Linked DNA regions of Cricetulus griseus. The protein of the gene in region 3 purifies or fractionates together with the protein of the main gene of each other region. This does not show direct contact. Links are inferred from orthologs where the notes say so. Each region holds a gene or a part of one and is shown on either strand. Other genes may lie near its edges. The genes, in order: L3mbtl2, Max and Tfdp1.

Region 1 (3,649 bases), on a different chromosome or scaffold from region 3:
CAGGTGATGGCGGCACATGCATTTAATCCCAACAGAAGCAGGCAGATCTCTGTGAGTTCAAGGCCAGCCTGGTCTACAGAAAGAGTCCCAGGACAGCCACAGAGAAACCTGGTCTCAAAATACACACACACACACACACACACACACACACACACACACACACACACACACACACACACTAAAATAAAATAAATAAAAATACTGATTATGAGAGAGAACACTCAGGAGATGGTTCCAGAAGGATGGGGTCAGTGGTGCTGCAGATGAGGGAGAGACATGCATGCATCATTCAGACCTTTGACTTCTCAAGAAGCCTCTCCCTAACATTTTCCTGCAGTCCTCTCCATGTTCCCAGCTCCCTGGAGAGCTACAACTGAGGGGCTGCAGAGCAGCCAGAAACTCTCCAAACCCACCAACATTTTGTACATTTGCAAACATCCTCCAGAACATTATTGAGAGCTTTCATCAGGGCTCAGGGAAAGCTCACTCATACAAGATAATTAATTAAGCAACAATACAAAGGCCAGGAGTCCACCCAATATACCAGATAAGCAGAGTACACCTGCACTGAGGTCTGTCCCTAAAGCAGTGGTTCTCAACCCCTTGGGAGGGGGCGTGTCAAACAACTTTTTCACAGGGGTCAAATATCAGATATCCTGAATATCAGTCATTTACATTATGATTTTTTTTTTTTCGAGACAGGGTTTCTCTGTGTAGCTTTGGAACCTATCCTGGCACTCGCTCTGGAGACCAGCCTAGCCTTGAACTCACAGAGATCCGCCTGCCTCTGCCTCCCGAGTGCTGGGATTAAAGGCATGCGCCACCAATGCCCGGCTACATTATGATTTATAACAGTAGCAAAATTAGTTATGAAGTAGCAACAAAATAATTTTATGGTTGGGGTCCCCACAACATGAGATATTGGCCAGGCCTTGGTGGTGCATGACTTTAATCCCAGCAATCAGGAGGCAGAGGTGGGCGGATCTCTGAGTTCAAGGCAAGGCTAGTCTACAGAGTTAGTTCAATGACAGCACTACACAGAGAAACTCTGTCTCAAAAAATAAAACAAAATGAAATGGGGGGAGGGGAGAGAACCCCAGGAAGAACTGTATTAAAGGGTTGCAACATTAGGAGTGTTGAGAACCATTACCTTAAAGTCACCATAAATTTTTTTTTTTAAAGATTTATTTATTATGTATATAGTGTTCTGCCGGTATGTCAGCCTGCAAGCCAGAAGAGGTTACCAGATCTCATTATAGATGGTTGTGAGCCACCATGTGGATGCTGGGAATTGAACTCAGGACCTCTAGAAGAGCAGCCAGTGTTCTTAACGTCTGAGCCATCTCTCCAGCCCCATAAATTTTTGAGCCTTTCAAAATAGGAATTGCTAGTTGGGTGTTGGTGGCGCAAGCCTTTAATCCCAGCACTCGGGAGGCAGAGGTAGTCGGATCTCTGTGAGTTCAAGAGTGGTCTAAGAGTGAGTCTACAGAGTGAGTTCCAGGACAGGCTCCTAAGCAATACAGAGAAACCCTTTCTCAACAAACCAAAAACCAAAACCAAAACAAAAACAAAAACAAAAAAAATATGTGAACTGCTGGACGTAGTAGGCATACCTTTAATCCCAGCAATAGGGATGTAGGGGAGAAAGTTGTGAATCTGAGACCAGCCTGGTCTACATAGTGAGTTTTAGGTCAGAGCTACACAGTGTGACCCTGTCTCAAAATAAAATAAGGGGCCGGGCAGTGGTGGTGCATGCCTTTAATGCCAGCACTTAGGAGGCAGAGTCAGGCAGATCTCTGGAAGTTCAAGGCCAGTCTGGTCTAAAAAAACAGTTGCAAGGCAGCTAGGGCTGTTACACAAAGAAACCCTGTCTCAAAAACAAACAAACAAACAAACAAACAAACAAAAACAAAAACAAATAATTAAATTAAATAGGGGTCTGGTAAGATGGCTCACTGGCTAAGACTACTGGCTGTTCTTCCAGAGGATCCAGGTTGTTTCTAGCACCTACACAGTGGCTCACAACTGCCTCCAGGTCCCAGGGCACCTGACAGCCTCTTTTGGTTGGGGGGGGGGGAGGAAGGAGTGGGTGGAACTTTTTGAGGCAAGTTCTCATGTACCGCAGATGACCACTATCAATGAGCTCCCCAAACTAACTAAACTGTCTGCTTCCAATCATGTCATGGCCCAGCTCAGCATCTGGGACCTCGAGAAGTGTGTGAGTGGCTGCTCTCACCTGTAGTCTAGCCAAGATACTGGCTTTCTTGGAGTTGGAGGAGTAGCTCCTGGAACACGAGACGCTGCAAAACCTCTTGGTCTTTGAGAAGAAAGCATCCCTTGTGCCCACGATACCACACATCTCACAGACAGCTGGAAAGAGACCTTGACATAATCACTTTAAGTCGAACAAAACCACAGGCTCCTCAACCATGTGAGTGTTAGGCTTTAAGGCTGATAGAGTGAGAGGAGGAGGTGGTGGACAGTGTGTGGAGTTCTCTTCCAAGAGCAAGTCTCACTACCCTCAAATTTGTAGGTTCAATAGACCCTCTTCCATCGGCATCTCTAGCAGCTGGGACTACAAGTGTGTGCAGCTCCATCTAACCTCTTAAGATGATATGTGGTTTCCTTTGGCTCTGTATCAAAATCCAGTGCTAAGGGGCTGGAAATCCACATGAACAGAAACTGATCAACAAGTTTTAGAAAGAGGAAATTGATAAGAGAAAAGGTGCTGAAATCACTTAACATTTGCAATTCCTTGCTCTCACAGGGAGTAAGTGGACAAGCTGTGTCTGTCTGACCATATTAGGTCACTCAACAGTGCTGTGGCCTGGGCTCCAGTGATACAGCATCTAAAGTGCTTTCCCAGCTTCCCAGATGACAAATCTGCAGCCAGGGTCACGAACCAGCCCCTAGACTAGCTGTTCTCCCTAGTGATCCCTGTTAGTATTCAAGTTCTCAGATTTTGAGAAGGGCTAGAAGACAGCAGGGAAAAAGATGGGGAAAATGGGGGAAGGAGAAGCCAAGCTGATTGGAAGGAAATCTGACCCTACTGCCAAAGAGTACAAGTATGAAGGAGGGAGAGGTGCTGTCCACAGTTTGGAGCCTGCCTCTTTTCAAGGACATACTGTTCACACTCTAGAAGCCCTTACACAGGGTCTGTCAGTCATCCAAGAACCACCTCTTCCAAGTCAACTGGCTTCCAGAAGATCCTAGGCCACTACCTTTTGCCCACCTCCATACCTGCCCTCTGACATGAAGGTCACTATCCCTACAACTTTCCAGCTTGCAGCCCATAAGCTTAATGCACTCACATCGTTGAGTGTCTCATGGTCTTCACAACACACTTAGGGACTACCAGGTTACTCTCACTAAGGTAATGGCATCTAGATGTGCTGAACAGACACGAGGTATCAGAGAATTATACTGTGAAACTAGACCGCAGGAGAGGAAATGGCCTTCGAAGACAGTCCCTTACAAGACAGTCCCTCACACATCTATATGGCTCTGCCCACATTGCCTATGTCCATCCATGCCCGATTCCTCCACAGACTCCTGACTACTCTCCATCTAAGGACACTGTGAAGGCACCTGGCTCGGAACCACTTCCATCCAAGGAGCGGGTATTCCCAGGGTTGAGCAAAGGCAGAGG
Region 2 (3,649 bases), on a different chromosome or scaffold from region 3:
CTTTTGCTCAAAGCTTTTGTTTTTTGAAGACAGAAACAGCTGGCTCCTGCCTCTCCAGGGAAAAGAGCAGTTTCTAAAGGCCTCTAGGGAGAATGGGAATGGTTTCCTTTTACTTCTCTTTCATATGAACAAGTCTCTTAACTCTTGTTCCATGGGTTACAATGCTTTTTACACATCTTGGGAAGAGTGGCTGTCAGGGTTGGAAATCACTGGTGCCCAGGCAGGTTCACAGCCCTGCCTGCAAGTGTTCATTTACACTAAGTACTAATGCTGAACTGAACAAGACCGATTCCCACAGAGGTTTAGGGGATCACTGGCCCGGAAATCTTTAGTGATCACAAACTAATTATGGACCAAGTTATACACTACAGTACATAGGTATATAGTTATGATAATGTCATGAATGACTAATTTATCTGCCTAGCATGACAAGGTCCTGGGTTCAATCCCCAGCACCACCAAAGAAACAAGTAATTAATGACACGTATCTCCAATTTTGCAAGGCCACTTTTTAGGGATGTCTCACAAACACCTCTATTACAAATGATGTTGTTTTTGCTAAAGATAATCAAGAACAACTGAGATATGTGAGAATCTTCCAGAGAATCAAAAACATAAAATGAAATAAATAATAAAAACAGGAGACCGTGCCACCTGATTGCCTTTCTTCACAGAAGGGAGGGCTGTCCTGTTCCAAGCTACTGGTGGGCCAACTGATTTGTCAATAAACTCACCTTTTCTCCTTGGAGTGACGGGACCGAGTCCCGCAAACTGTGAAAGCTGTCTTTGATGTGGTCCCTGCGTTTTCGTTCCAGTGCATTATGATGAGCCCGTTTGTCAGCCTAGGAGAAATGAAGACAGAGCATGTTAGGAATGCCACTCCTTGTCCAGGTGGATGTGGTAAAGCCTGGAAGTGTGTGCAGTCAGCGCTGTCCCTGGCAAGTGGACTGAGAAAATTTGCAGAGTGAGATGGACAGTTAGGAGTCTCCAGAATTAGGCTCTGTTAAAGAGGGAGAAAGGGGTGAGTAAGGCTTGCAACAGGAACATCCAAAGTAGCACGGTGGATCCAGCTCATGCACAAGTAAAACCGAAGTTATTCAAGGAGACAAAGTGTGACTCTCCTGCAAGTGTCCCCAACCTACGTGATGGAGCAGTTGCCAGTCTGTGGTTGCAATGTAACTAAAGAAAGCTCCAGTGGGCTCCTTCCTAAGATATGGTTACTCTACCATGAGACTGGGGGGCGGGGGTGTACTTCTGTCCACTTGAAACCTACCATCCAAGGCTCTGCTACAGGTCACCAACATACCCTCTCATCAGGTCATACAAGAGAGCTCCAAACCTCTGGAAAGCCCAGTTGCATTTGAGGTTATTATGACATAGCTGACAGATGTGCCAACTGCACTTGGGTTTCCTCTCACAAGGCTGAGCCAGAGAGGCACTTTTTGGGTAGCAGACCTTCTGACACATACATGCTCTTGGTAAATTTCCTCATGCACATGCAGCAGGTCTGGCCCATTTGGCACTTTTCTAAATACCCTAAGCAGCCTTTAACCTTTCCTGCTTGGAATTATAAACAGTCTGCTGGTGAGGCTCAGGACTGCCAAACAATCAGGAAGGGGAAGGCAGCAGAGCACCATGCTGGGGAGCACTGCCAAGGAGCTTCATCTCCCTCTACACAGAACACAAGGACTACTTGAGCAAGAACTTCACCACACCTCTACTTCAGGAATTACAGAAATACTCTTGAGCATTTCCCCAGACTAGAGCAGGCTGTGCTGAGCTAGCCTAAAGAGCCTGTCTGCACATTAGAAAGTGACCTGGCTAGTAAGCCCAGACAGAGTACCAGGAATTTTGGAAATGCAACAACAAGCATAAACTTGGTTTGACAATGCCATTTCCACTGAATCCTTGTACTAGAAAAGATGGGCAGACAGAAATCAGACAAGAGCAATGAGAAGAAAAGGATTAAAAATTCTTCTACTATCAAATTCTAAAACCTAAAAGTCTCTGACTCCCCCCAGGGGAAGAGCCTGGAGACCCTGTAGACTGTTTCCCTTCTGATTTCTCAGAAGCCTCACCTACAGTTCTGTTAAATGGGCACACGTTCCCATCACAGTCACCATCTTGAAGATGGGGCACAAGCTGGGAGGATTCCTAAATTATCCTGTCTTAAACCTCAGTTCACTGTAAAGCAAAGGATTTTCTTAACTAGTCATATAGAAAATAGAATGAGGAATCCGAAAGGACAATTAAGCTTGGAAAACCAGGTAACTTGAGGGTAGAGGTGTTATCACTGTATTATAAAATACTAGGGCAAGCAAGATAACCACAGCTGCCCTCTCAGAGCAGTGTAAATTAAGTTAGCTTGAAGGAACTACATGTCAATGCCCAGGTAAACCCGCCTGTCACAATACTCGAGGACAGAAGAGATCTAGGACAACATTTGGCATGCACTAGGCCTCTGGTGTTTACTCTGTAATTTTCAAGATGGTCTATTTACATGCAAACCAATTGCTCAGCTTTGGTCTTCAGCAGCAGCCTAAGATACTCTGTCTACTAAATCACCCTGACTCCTGGCCCTCCTCCCAGCTTAAGAGCTGTGCACAGAAGCAGTGATACCAGCTACCCACAATGCCTCTTGCTGATACAAATAAAAATCCTAATTGTCTGTTTTCTTTCTGGGAGAACCCTGAAAATCTCAGGCAGTTAGAACTAAGATGGACTTGGTTTTCTGAGGGCCTGTGCTGTAAGCAAGGAGCTAAGTTGAACCTAACACCGCTGTCATCCCCAAGATGTACCACCCCTCCCATCTGCTGAGCACTGAAAGGACTCAGACGGACAACAGTCTTTTGGTTGGAGGACTGTAGTGAACTTGGCCATAGACCACGAGCAGAAATCTCGGCTTCTCATCTGGGGAGTCAGCCAAGTTAGAAGTTGGCTCAGCTAGGAAAGGCAGCAGGCCACTGCCTGGTAGAAAGCCTGGGCTGGGGACTGTTGTTCTCCAAGCAGTGGATGGAATTTCTGTGGTGGTTCCAGACCCAATTTAACTAGCAGAACGGTGGAATCTTAGAGCAATCCCTCCTGCATGTCTATCCCTCAGCTGTTATGCCTGAACAGAGACAGCCACAAGGATCTATTTGTTTTTCCTTGTCCCCAAGCCTCATTTGCAAGCACACGTGAAAAACATGCGGAACTCACATGCCTAATTCCAGGCAACTCTGAATGAAGTGGCATTTCTAGTGCTTACAGAGCATAGGAAAACTTGACACACCTTCACACAAGGCTGAGAGTTCTCTCTGGAAAGTATTTCTAAGCTGCATGCGAGGATGGTACCCCCAGCCCTGCATGCTGGGCCAGTGGCTGACTAAAAGATTGCCTTGTTAGCCAAGTTCTCTTGTTGACAAGCTCATTCCCAAAAGGCCAAGATTTCAGAGTTGAGAAAGAAAAACCAGGTGAAGACTCTCAGCGTAAGGTGCTAGAGATCCTCCCGTGAACTCTTTACAGCAGTGCAGCAATTACAGTAGTGGAACAAACAACTCAGATGAGTGTTAGTGCGCTCTCTCTCTCTCTCTCTCTCTCTCTCTCTCTCTTCTCTCCTCCCTCCCTCCCTCCCTCCCTCCCTCCATCCCCTGTACTGTCTGGTCATGCA
Region 3 (3,749 bases):
GCCTGCAGTTCACAGGGAACCCTCACCTGCCCATCTGCCTGGGCATCTGCTGGGGCAGAAAGCCCCTTAGCTATTTGTTGTCTTCTCTCTACCCTTCCTGGTCCTCTTCCATGACCCAGAGCTTGACTTTAGCCCCTCTGCTCTCACAGGTGTCCAGCTATACTTTACAGCTAGATTTCATCCCCAGTATCAAGTGCTTAGAAAACTCAGTGGTGCCTACTTCCTCTCCTTCAGCACAGACTACAATGTCCCTCTCTGAAACACAAGTATCGTATCCTATATAAAGACATGGTTGGCTACAGGAACGGCCCAACCCTTGACTGTCTGCAGTCTCTGATTCCCCTCTGACTGGGGAAGACGCTTGTGGCGTGTGAATATGTGTGGTGATGAGAGTCAGCTCCAGCACCCTGTTACTCAGTCACTGCACCAGCCCAGCCACACCACAATGGATAACCCCAAACCAGCTGGCCTCAGACTCTCATTGTGATGGGAGATCCTGACCACCTGTCCTCACAGTGCACCACCCCTTTCCCCAGGGACACAGCACATGGAAAGGGAGTGAATGATGCAAAACTAAAATGACAAAACTCTGAGCATGCTGGCTCACTGAAAATGCAATAATATCGTGCCAGTACCATGACCTAACAAAGGCATGGGGGCCAGTATCCCATTTACAAACCATTTACCAAATCTAGTTACTTTGTGGGCATGTGCTGAGCCCACACATACATGTTAGGGCATACATATGGAGAAGAGTGGGGACATGGGTGTAGATAAACAACTGGACCTAACAAGATCAAGCCAGTATCATATATGGTTGTGACTTCAGGTGACCTATACAAGATCTCCTAGGGTGTGACACAACTCCAAAGAGCAGGCCCAAGCCAAGTGCTTGATGACAGGGAGAGTGGCACCGTCTGACCCATGTGGATCATTAAGCATAGCTGAGTCCTCAAGTCAGTGGACAGGACACAGCACCCACCGGTACCTGGCCCCACACCATAGACGCAGCCACACTACACCTGAGCACAACTCTAGATGATGTAGCGCGTCTGCCTGCATTTCCCAGGCTGCACAGAAAATACAGGAATCTAACATTCACAGGGCAGTGAATGCTGAGGAACACTGAAAAGGAGATCATTAGTGCTGGAAGGAGTTAGGATGATATTGCAAAAATATATGTAACCAACAACAGAGACTATATCTTGCAGCCTAAAAGCCTAACTCTCCATATCTGTTTCAAAAAAAAAAATTATTCAAAATATCCAGTAGCTTCAAGATAAATATAAAGCTAAACCAACCAGCATTTCCACCGTGTTTCATTAATCACCAGATGTCATCTTTCTGAGAAAAATGTGCCCAAACAAGTTGTTGATATTCAATCCATCAAAGTTGAATTACGGTCCTGCGTACTACATAAAACAAGTACAGCCTAAGTTCCATGTTGACAGCTGTCCTGAGTGGAAACCCACTAACACACAACACCCCCCTCACACATTCATTTTAATTGAGAGGTGTATTCAATTTTTTTTTTAATTTAAACTGTCTAGATAGGTTAAGGGAAAAATCAAGACCACATCATCCAACCACAAATAACGTGTCAGTCTTCAGATGACAAAGAACACTTGTGCAGGGGGGAGGCACCCACCTACTGACTCTCCATCCCTCACCTCCATCCCAGCTCCTGCGTGTAAAATGTGAGGATAAACCACGGCCATGCACGCACGGCCATAGAGAAAACTGCAAGGAGCAGTGAGCTAACATGTCTGCAGCACGAAGCAATCATACTTACATCTTTTGCCATGTTACCAGATCCAGGAAATCAAGGCTGTAACTGCGTACCCGCCACAGAAAAAACCGGACTTATCTGGCAAAAAGGAAGGAGACAATTAATGAGAGAGAATGAAAAAAGAAGTTTAACAGACATCGCATTTCAAAGGAAACATCTCCCCACCAGCACGAGGCAGGCCTCCAGGCAGCAGGGGCCTTTCTTGCACAATCCCGACAGGAGAGCTAGCCAAGCAGGTCCCACACGGGGATTTTAAGTCACCTCTCCAAATGGAAGTGCTCCCTGCGGCCACCAGCAGCTCCCACTCGCAGAGGGTCCAGACCCCAACCCCTTGGCAGAGTAAGGCGCAGCCGTCAGGCTCACCCCACCTGGGCGCGCGGGCCCCGTCTGACCACAGGCCCCACCGAGGCACAAGGCCCCCAGCTTAGGCACGACACTGCGTGGCAAACCCCGGGCCGCAGCAGGCCCTCGAGCTGCCAAGACCCCAAGGAGCCGCCGACCACTCTGACAGGTGGGCTCCCGGCCCGCCGCCCGCCCCACCTGTCACTAGGCCCGGCCACCAAGCCCCGCGCGCTGGCGCGGAGAAAGCCGGAGGGTGGCCAGGACCCCTGCCCGCCGCCCACGCCACGCCGCGTCGAGGCCGACTCCGGGCTGAGGCTGGGTGGCGGGCGGGATGCAGCCGGACGCGGGAACCGGGCTGGGGCGGGAACGGGGCCGCGCGCCCAGCCCGCGCCCTCCCGCTCGGCCGGCCAGCGCCCCCGCCACACCTGGCTGGCCGGCGGGGCGCGCGGGGCGACGACGGGGGCGCGGGGGCGCCGGCCCGGAGGTCCGGCCCTGGCGGTCCCTGCCCTGAGCCAGCGGCGCCGGACGCGGGCTCACCCTGGGCCGAGCGTCGGGCCGGCGTGACGTGCGCGCGGCGCGGTGACGTGGGCGGCGGCGGGCCCGCTCCGCGCAGCGCGCCTGCGCGCCTTTTCGCGCCTTCGGCGCCCTCCTCCTCCTCCTCCTCCTCCTCCTCCCGCCGCTCATCTCCCGCGCCTCTCGCCGGTGCTACCCGCCCTGGGATAGGGGAGGGGCCTGTGCGCGCGTGCGCGTGCGGCGGGACTCGGCTGGAGACCGCCCGCACTGAAAAGTGCTGCGCGCGCCTGCATGTGCGCATGGAGGCCACGTGTGTGCGCGCCTCTGTGTGTACACCAAGGGCCAACTGAATGCATATCTGTGTGCATGCGCAGGGAATAGAGGGCCACGTGTTTGCCTGTGTGTGTGTCTGTGTGTGTGTGTGTGTGTGTGTGTGTGTGTGTGTGTGTGTGTGATACCTGCCAACGGAGAAAGATCTGTGGTGTGTGCCATACCTGCAGGTACACATAGAAGAGTAACGTGGGCACACCTGTGTATATGCAGATAGTATAGCTGTATACACGTGCATATGCAGAGTATGAGTCGGGCGTGCACGCCTGAACATGTATACAGAAAACCCCCTGTACATACAACTATGTATATTTGTGTTTAATGTCTGCACAGAATACAGGTATGTGTGTACGAATAGAGGGGCCAGCTATGTGCGCATGAGGAAAAAGAGGTCAGTTGTAGGAGTGCCTTAACGTACCTGTATGTGCACCCCCAGCAGAGGAGTTTTGTACATTTACACAGGCCATAGTGAAGACTGTTGGGATGCACACACGTATTGGACACTGCAGAGACATAGAGAGCCTGCCACTATTCAGCTATTGACGTCCACAGCCACATGGCCTGAACTTGGGTTGTCAGTGATTCAGGGCAGGAAGCATCCTGAAAGGGTGTTTGCTCCTGTCATTTCAGAGTCTGTAGGCTTCATCCCAGGAGGGGTCTGGTAGACCCTGAGGCCTGAAGACAGTCCACATTGGAGACCTCTACCTTAGGACTAAAGCTGGAGAGCCTGGGAAGAGAATAGGCTAGGCCTCCCAAATCAGTCCAAATGGTTTGG

Evidence for each region.
Region 1: the proteins of Tfdp1 (region 3) and L3mbtl2 purify together in Homo sapiens (affinity purification with mass spectrometry; 4 studies listed by BioGRID and IntAct, counting the BioPlex papers as one, with this or other methods). This does not show direct contact. The link is inferred for Cricetulus griseus from reciprocal best matches to the Homo sapiens genes TFDP1 and L3MBTL2.
Region 2: the proteins of Tfdp1 (region 3) and Max purify together in Homo sapiens (affinity purification with mass spectrometry; 5 studies listed by BioGRID and IntAct, with this or other methods). This does not show direct contact. The link is inferred for Cricetulus griseus from reciprocal best matches to the Homo sapiens genes TFDP1 and MAX.

The regions. Positions count from the first base shown.
Region 1 is NC_048595.1:378,810,805-378,814,453, reverse strand, and holds part of L3mbtl2 (lethal(3)malignant brain tumor-like protein 2), read right to left. Parts: coding exon 3,589-3,649; intron 2,371-3,588; coding exon 2,237-2,370; intron 1-2,236. UniProt on the Homo sapiens protein: Putative Polycomb group (PcG) protein. PcG proteins maintain the transcriptionally repressive state of genes, probably via a modification of chromatin, rendering it heritably changed in its expressibility.
Region 2 is NC_048598.1:126,569,184-126,572,832, reverse strand, and holds part of Max (protein max), read right to left. Parts: intron 843-3,649; coding exon 735-842; intron 1-734. UniProt on the Homo sapiens protein: Transcription regulator. Forms a sequence-specific DNA-binding protein complex with MYC or MAD which recognizes the core sequence 5'-CAC[GA]TG-3'. The MYC:MAX complex is a transcriptional activator, whereas the MAD:MAX complex is a repressor.
Region 3 is NW_023276807.1:67,450,133-67,453,881, forward strand, and holds the start of Tfdp1 (transcription factor Dp-1), read right to left. Parts: upstream 2,685-3,749; 5' UTR 2,557-2,684; intron 1,868-2,556; 5' UTR 1,805-1,867; coding exon 1,793-1,804; intron 1-1,792. UniProt on the Homo sapiens protein: Can stimulate E2F-dependent transcription.